Rattus norvegicus: one gene and its partner. The protein of the gene in region 2 interacts with the protein of the main gene of each other region in a pairwise test. Links are inferred from orthologs where the notes say so. Each region holds a gene or a part of one and is shown on either strand. Other genes may lie near its edges.

Region 1 (3,923 bases), on a different chromosome or scaffold from region 2:
TGTTTAAAGTACAGTCCATTCAATGTGTAGCTACAACCACAATGCTACTAGAAATGTTTGGATTTTTAAGATTCATAAACTTTCAAACTAAGAGTGTGTCTTGAGCTCAGCTCTGAAGAACGCTAAGAGCTGACCAGCTAGCTCTCCCTCCAAACACAACACACTGGCAAGAGAACTACAGCTCTGGCGCTCTCAGAGGTGGCTGGGAATGGTGATGGGGAAACCCCTCATGACTTACAGTGGAGCGAATACCTACCTGCTTAGGTAGGATTACAGTACCCAGCACAGTGCACTGTCAGTAGAAACGTTTAATAAGAAATGTATGGCTGTTTTAGCCTGGTGTTCAACCCTTTTGTACCAAAGGAATAAAAATAGCAAACCTGATATTGCTGCCCACCCTATCACGGAATTCCCTGTCCTTAACTAGGATGAGGCAAAATGAGTTAAGAATTTTTCTAAAAGCCATGTCATACATATAATTACTTTAATTTTACATTTGCCTTTCAATATCACTACATTCTTCCTTAGTGTTTGATTTACCATCACTTCTACAATTGTCTGTGTTTACACAGGAAAACCATTTTAGTTAGTAAGATTCCCACAAGTTAGGTAAAATCACTTTTTCCTTTGGAGGTTTCCTGTAGACTGACTGTACTTAAGAGACATGCTTCACCAGGGAACTTCCCCAGTTGTCCCTCCGCTCCTGGAAGTTTTGCTGCCATCTCTCGTCTGAGACTTAAGGCTTATCTGACTGCGGCTTTGGCCGTTATCTTCTCAACCTGAACAAAAGGAAGCTAAGCTTTCAAGGATGGTTCTAAACCTTGAAGATGGGCTTTAGATTTTACAATTCCTGTGTTGCCCTTTAAAACAAAAAGGTGTGCACCCTCACAGAACACCCCTCCAGTGATCAACACAGAAATAAAGTAGCTGTCTGAAAAAGGGGAGGGACAGAGAACCAGGCATCTAATTACTTGGGGAGAAAAAAAGAAAATATAAACATCACATGGAAAATTTAGGTTATTAACACCTGAATTATTTAAAATTTCGGTTTCTAGGCAGGTATAACACCATTTCTTTCAAGGTAATAATGGTGAATGAAGATTTTTTTTTTTTTATTTCCCAGTAGATTTTCTCAGTCAATGGGGAAAAATAGTTTCCATATCTCTTCACTTTTTAATTTTGTCTTCATTTCTGAAGAAAAAGACCTGAGTGCTGATTGTTTCCTCATAATTTCTTAAACCTTCACAACATTTAAAAGTTTTTCTGCATTGTGTCTTCTCTGATGTCTAAAAAGATTTGAGCTTTGACTATAGGATTTCCCACACTGAACACATTCATACGGTTTCTCCCCAGTGTGGATTCGCTGATGGTTAATGAGCCCAGAATTCTGGCTAAAGGCTTTCCCACATTCGAGACACTTGTAGGGTTTTTCTCCAGTATGGACTCTCTGGTGCTGCACCAGGATGGAGCTTCTGCTGAAGGCTTTCCCACATTCGACACATCCGTAAGGCTTCTCCCCGCTGTGGATTCTCTGATGAAGAATAAGGGCAGAGCCCTGACTGAAGTGTTTCCCACACTCGTCACATATGTGTTGTTTCTTTCTGGAAGGATTTCTCTTTCTTTCAAACCTGCCCTTGGGAAAACAGGTTTCTCCATATTTGAAAATCTGAGGAACACCTATGTTGAGAGTGCCAGGAACCTCGTGAGACTCTCCCGCTGAAGCGATCTCCTGCTTTGGGGCCAGGGCTCCATTCTCTGCCGTAGCATCATCATCTGAAATAAAGAGAAAATGTAAGTATCACTCAGTGCCTAGTTGGAGAGAGAAGGACTTAAGGAAAGAAGTGGGTTTTGTTGTTGTTGAGGCAAGGTCTCACTATGCAGCTGCTGCCAGCCTCAAACTTCCTATGCAGACCAGGCTGGCCTCGAATTCAGAGATCTGCCTGCCTGCGCCTCCCAAATGCTGGGATTAAAAGTATGTGCCACCATGCTTGGCAAAAAGAAGATAACTTTTTCATGAACTAAAAATAAATAGTTTGTGCACATCTGAGTATATAAGGTTGACTACTCTCAAAAAAAAAAAAAAAAGAAGATTATGCAGTTAATGAGCTAATGGCATGGCAGCAAAATGACACGAAAGGTTTTATCTAAATTTAACACAGGGGCTAGAGAGATGGCTTGGCCATTAAGAGCACTTGATCCTTCAGAGAACCCAAGTTCGGTTCCCAGCACCTATCCTGGGAAGCTCACAACCATTACAACATCAGCTCTAGGGGATCCACCTTCCTCTTCTGACCTCTTGGGTACAGGAACAAGTGACACACACACACATACATAATACACACATTTAAAAAAATAGAATAGGTGACAAACAGATTATCAGATAAGGGGGGAAATCAAACTGATATGGTTAGGTCTGAAAAAACTTTGGAATAAAAAACAATTACCATTAAAAAATGTTTTTAAAGAAATTACATCAAAATAAAGGTATAACATAAAAAGTCTGTCAAGGGGACTGGAGAGATGGCTCAGAGGTTAAGAGCACTGACTGCTCTTCCAGAGGTCCTGAGTTCAAATCCCAGCAACCACATGGTGGCTCACAACCATCTGTAATGGGATCTGATTCCCTCTTCTGGTGTGTCTGAAGATAATGACAGTGTGCTCATATACATAAAGTAAATACATCTTAAAAAAAAAAAAAAGTCTGTCAAACAGTAGCTACTGCTGAAAAAGGTTAGTATGTCACGGCCAATGCTGAACTTAGAGCAGAACACAGGAGTCCTGATGGAAAAAAAGGCCAAGAACTGTGTATGTTTTTTTTTCTTTTTTTTCGGAACTGGGGACCGAACCCAGGGCCTTGCGGTTGCTAGGCAAGCACTCTACCTCTGAGCCAAATCCCCAACCCCAAGAACTGTGTATGGTAACTTACACTTTAACTCCAACACTCACAGAAGGCAAGGGGAGGAAGAAGTCTGAATCCAACGCCAATTCCAAGAACAAAGCAAGTTCCAGTCAGGACACAAAGACCAAGTCTCAAAGAACAGGACAAAAAAGCTAAGGCTAATCTGAGGCCACCTACATTAACTAAAGCCCTGACACTTCAAACTCCAATACACAATAAATGAAAGGTTCCCCATTAAAGAAATGTGCTCCAACTTGGAATTTGTCATGATAGCTGGAAAAATTGTTCAAGTCTTAGAAGTATATGTCTAGAAAAAAAGCCTCAAGTTTAAGCAGCAGCACTGTCTGCCCACAGGCAGGGGTAAGAGCAAGTCGCACCAATTTTTCTGGAACTTTAACAGTAGAGAGAGGACAGTTGTCACACAGAGCAGCAGCGCTCAAAAGTCACCAGTGATGAATGACACAAGGGTTGATCAAGGGAGAAAGCAGAAGAGTGGGAGAGCCAAGGGCCTGAGGGGTCATGAGGCTTACAGGCTTGAAAAGTCAAGTATGAGGGGCCGGTGGACACACGACCTGAAATAAATGGAATGTTCTGGATGTGAAAGCGACTGGAGTGCTAAAATGAGGCCGACAGGGAAAGCTACCCTGACATTCAGGAAGAGGACATGTTCTCTACCCACGAAAGACATCTTGAAAGGATACAGCTCCGGAACTATCCAATGGAACGAGGTCCCATGACAGGTAAAACCAGTGTTGCACATTACACCTGAACCCCAGTTCTGGTTTGTAGCACCCCTCTAAGGAGAAGAACGCTGCTCATATCTTAATTTGTGGCATGCTGGTTATTATTTCCACCTACTCCGAGGACTGATCCTGAAGCAATCTCAAACAAGATATCGCAGAAGCAAACTGCAGCCCGCGAGTTTAGCATATACTAGGTCACATAAACAAGTGCACAGCATTAAGTACCTGTACTGCAATGCTCTCTCCTGACCTCTGATGGTACCTGCACACACATGCACACA
Region 2 (3,891 bases):
CCAGTAATTAGAGTGATACAGAATTTCCTATCTCCTAGCCCAGTAGATTTTCCAAAATTTTATCTTTTAAAAACTGGCAAGACTTTCTAGGACTAATTCTTATCAAAGATCTCTTTTTTTATTTATTCATTTATATATAAGTACACTGTAGCTGTCTTCAGATACACCAGAAGAGGGCATCGGATCTCTTTACAGATGGTTGTGAGCCACCATGTGGTTGCTGGGAATTGAACTCAAGACCTCTGGAAGAGTAGTTGGGTGCTCTTAACCGCTGAGCCATCTCTCCAGCCCTTATCAAAGATCTCTTAACCGTGACTTTTTAGTATCTTAGTTGTGCTCTACAACTGAATCTCCTAAGAACCTAAAAGCAGAGAAGATGAGAGAAAGAAAGAAAAAAATCCCACTCACCATGTTGAAGAACCCATGACCACCTCCCAGTAGTGGCAGCCACTGTCAATGAATATATTTCCTGCTGCCCCATAACACCCCGTGCCACTAAATCTCTCCGGAGTGTGGCTCTTCTTCAGAGAGCTCTCGTCCTTCTCCATCTGCAATCCATCATTGGAGATCTTCAACTTCTTGTGAGTCATTTTGGGATCTAGTTTAAATGGTTGGCCTGAAAGAAAAAAAAAGTAAAAGAAGAAGGGAAGGGAAACTATGATGAAACATTTACGAACTGTGTCTTTCCCCTCCAGGACCATCATTAGCAGGGGACCCCCAATATGATGATGTAGGTTGGCTGCACTTTGAACTATATTAGGAAAGCAGGCAAGAGTGTCAACTGGCAACTAAGAAGAGAAGTCATCCTCCCAAAAGATAACCTTCATGCATTATTTTCCCTCTGTGAAAAAACGTGGGTATCTCATTTTGCTGGAAGTCATATTCCAAGCACGGAGGAGAAAGTGTTCCCATCATATATTATGATATTAAAAGGGACCACTCCAAGTCTCACATCCTCAAATGTGAGAGCTGCAGAGAGCGCCCATCCTCCATCAATCCATCATTGGAGGTCTGCACCTTCTTCTGAGTCATTTTGGGACCTAGTTTAAATGGTTAGCCTAAAAAAAGTAAAAGAATGTCTTACTTCCATGAGTGGGTTGGGATATAGGGAAATTTTTTAAAGGAGTGTTGCAATGTTTGAGGTAGGATAGTCTTTGTGTTAATGAGGCAATTGCTCACAAAAGAAAAAGGAAACAAAAACAAAAAACAAAAAAAAAAATAAAACCAACTCAGCAACAGATGTTTGCTTCTTTGAAACTGGAGTGCGCATATAATTAGGCGACTTTGTTTGAGTGGCTGCTCCATCATCAATGATGAAAGATAGCATGTGCTTTACTACAGAGACCTTTATAACCATATGACAAAAACACTGTCCTGTGACCCCAAGTGCTGGGTATTGAAAGAGGTTTAGTGTACAGTATGCCTCTGTGATAGACACTGTGTGTTTATACAGCATCCATTCCTTACTTCTTCTCTCTCTCTCTCTCTCACTCTGCCAGCCTCCCTCGATGCTTGGGATGACTAATAAAAAGGAAACTGAAGTCAAGCAGAGTGGAAGAAAATTCTGATTAAGCTCCTGTTTCCTTGATTAAAGGCTTACCAACGTTTTCTCTTCTTCCTACTTTGAAGGGAAATATGACATCAGAGGTTGCACTGGCCATCTTCTGGCCTTGTGGGTGAACTGATGCACAAAGACAGAGCTCCAAGCTTTCAAGAGATCTCACAGCTGCTATACTAGTCTTGAGTTGGCTGCCTTCACACTTCTTTCAGTGTGTGACAGGCAGTTAAAAACAAACAAACAAACAAAGACCACTATTCACTTAAACTACTTGGAAATCCTTGCTAAACTCTGTCGGTGGTGATCAAGGGCATTCCTAAAAATATGGCTTCTCTGTGGTAGAGCTTTGCTAGATCACCACAAGTAATACACTTTAACTTAATTTTCTCCCAAGCATAGGAGACAGGGGTGGAAGGCAGAGACAAACCCTTCCCTAACCTCATTCCAAGCTGTGCTATGTATGTTTTAGTTCACAAACACCCCTGGGCACCAACAAATCCTTTACCTGAAGCACAAGCTACAACAGTAAAGCCCCTCTCCTCAGAGCCACTGCTCTGGGAGTCTACTCGGGTTAACTGTCCTCCATGACACAGAGAGCAAAAATGAGTCTTTTCTCCTGGAATCACAACTTACTGTTTGTTTTTAGCCTGGTGGGTTCACTGTTCCGGCTGCCTGCTTGATTTATGGCTTTCACAATAAAGATGTAGCGTGTCCCACTCTGGAGTCCATGGACTGTGTAATGGTTCTGCTTAATGTTGGGCACAATCATCCAGCTGTCCACTGAATTGTACAGGCCTGAGAAGTAGGGAAAGACAAAGGCATCAACCAACAGGTTTTTTTTTTTTAAAAAGTTAGGATTTAAAAAAAATATACACTGAAAATCAATTATAGCCACCCAAGTGAATTCATTTTCTTTTGAGTCTTGAAAGATATAATGAGATGAACTAGCACTTACGATTCCACTAATTAATTTTTCCATGCACTTAGACTTGTGCCAGGCTTCTGGCATCTAGCAAGCACTGACAAAAGCTAGGGTATATTGTTTTTAATGCCAAAGAACACAAGAATGGTCAGTATTCAAAATAGCAGGATCCTCACAGTTATGGACTACCTGGGTCCTTACCGCTAAAGTCTGTTTCTGTGCGAACTGAGTCTGGCCTTGGATGGATGGAAACATTCCTGTACAGAGCTCAGTATTATGAAACTCAGAGCAGAAAGGACACCTACACATGGATTTCCTTCATTTTTCAGAGGAAACAATGATGGAAGGAAAGTGGCTTGCCCGTGGTCATAGATGAGGCTTTTATCGTATTCCAGTGATCTATGCACTGTATCAGTGTGTGGCGAGTGAGTGACAATATGCCTTTGTCCCTGTACACCAGTGAGATTTTCAGAGCCATATTACTCCTGCCCTTCCACCTCATGTTTACCCTTCCTTTCCAGATTTGCTGGACTTCAAAAGGAGCCAAGATGATATGAAAACAAAGTAGAATATTCTTGCTTTTATAAGATGTTGGGGTTGTGTTTTATTTTGTTTTAACCTCTTCCAGACTCAATCCCCATCTCATGTTCTTCTTGGGTCATGTGGTCCAGAATGATATTATAATCCAAACGATGTTTCTTTCTTCCCAAGCAGGGAAAAGGATCTCAAGAATGCTTTTGCTTTTGAAAATAATCTTGAGATTACAGATATAGTGACTTAAACAGGATGAAATATATTTAATTAAAAGTAAGTATTTGGCTGGGTTTTTTTTTTTGATAAAATGAATAGTGATGCTACTTTAATGGGTTTTTCTTTTTTCTTTTTGGCTTCCCTTTTCTGTTATCTGTTTCTCAGTTTAACGTGTTTTTAAAATACAGTTCTACTTGAAGATGGGAAGGAGAGGGCATGGAAAATGAGAACCAATTTAAGTCATGTTTATGGAGTTCTAATGAAGAATTGAGTGAGATTGAAAGTTAGAAATAGTGTTGTGAATATTTTACATGGGATCTGGTCAAGAGATTTATAATTAACTCGAGGTATGTAGAGAAGGCCTAACTTAGTATTTAAAATGAGGCACAATTTAAGCACGGCGATACATACCTGTAATCCTAGAACCTCAGAGGTAGAGGCAGGAGGATCAGTCTTTCACAACCAGCCTTGACTATAGAGCAACTTCCAGGCTCAGTCTAGGCTATCTCAAAACATCAAACAACAACCAGCCAAACAAACAAAACTCATAATGGGCAAACAAAAAGGTACACTATAGAAATAGGACAAAGATTCATTGAGAGGGGGCTGGAGACATGGCTCTTCTACAGGTTGGATTCCCAGCACCCATATGGCAGCTCAC

The links.
Region 1: the proteins of Mid2 (region 2) and Zfp24 interact in binary tests that used the Homo sapiens proteins (3 or more experiments, as listed by UniProt). The two-hybrid records come from large-scale screens. The link is inferred for Rattus norvegicus from reciprocal best matches to the Homo sapiens genes MID2 and ZNF24.

What each region holds. Positions count from the first base shown.
Region 1 is NC_086036.1:15,573,644-15,577,566, forward strand, and holds the end of Zfp24 (zinc finger protein 24), read right to left. Parts: intron 1,774-3,923; coding exon 1,235-1,773; 3' UTR 1,102-1,234; downstream 1-1,101. UniProt on the Homo sapiens protein: Transcription factor required for myelination of differentiated oligodendrocytes. Required for the conversion of oligodendrocytes from the premyelinating to the myelinating state.
Region 2 is NC_086039.1:109,237,271-109,241,161, reverse strand, and holds part of Mid2 (probable E3 ubiquitin-protein ligase MID2), read right to left. Parts: intron 2,354-3,891; coding exon 2,192-2,353; intron 617-2,191; coding exon 409-616; intron 1-408. UniProt on the Homo sapiens protein: E3 ubiquitin ligase that plays a role in microtubule stabilization. Mediates the 'Lys-48'-linked polyubiquitination of LRRK2 to drive its localization to microtubules and its proteasomal degradation in neurons.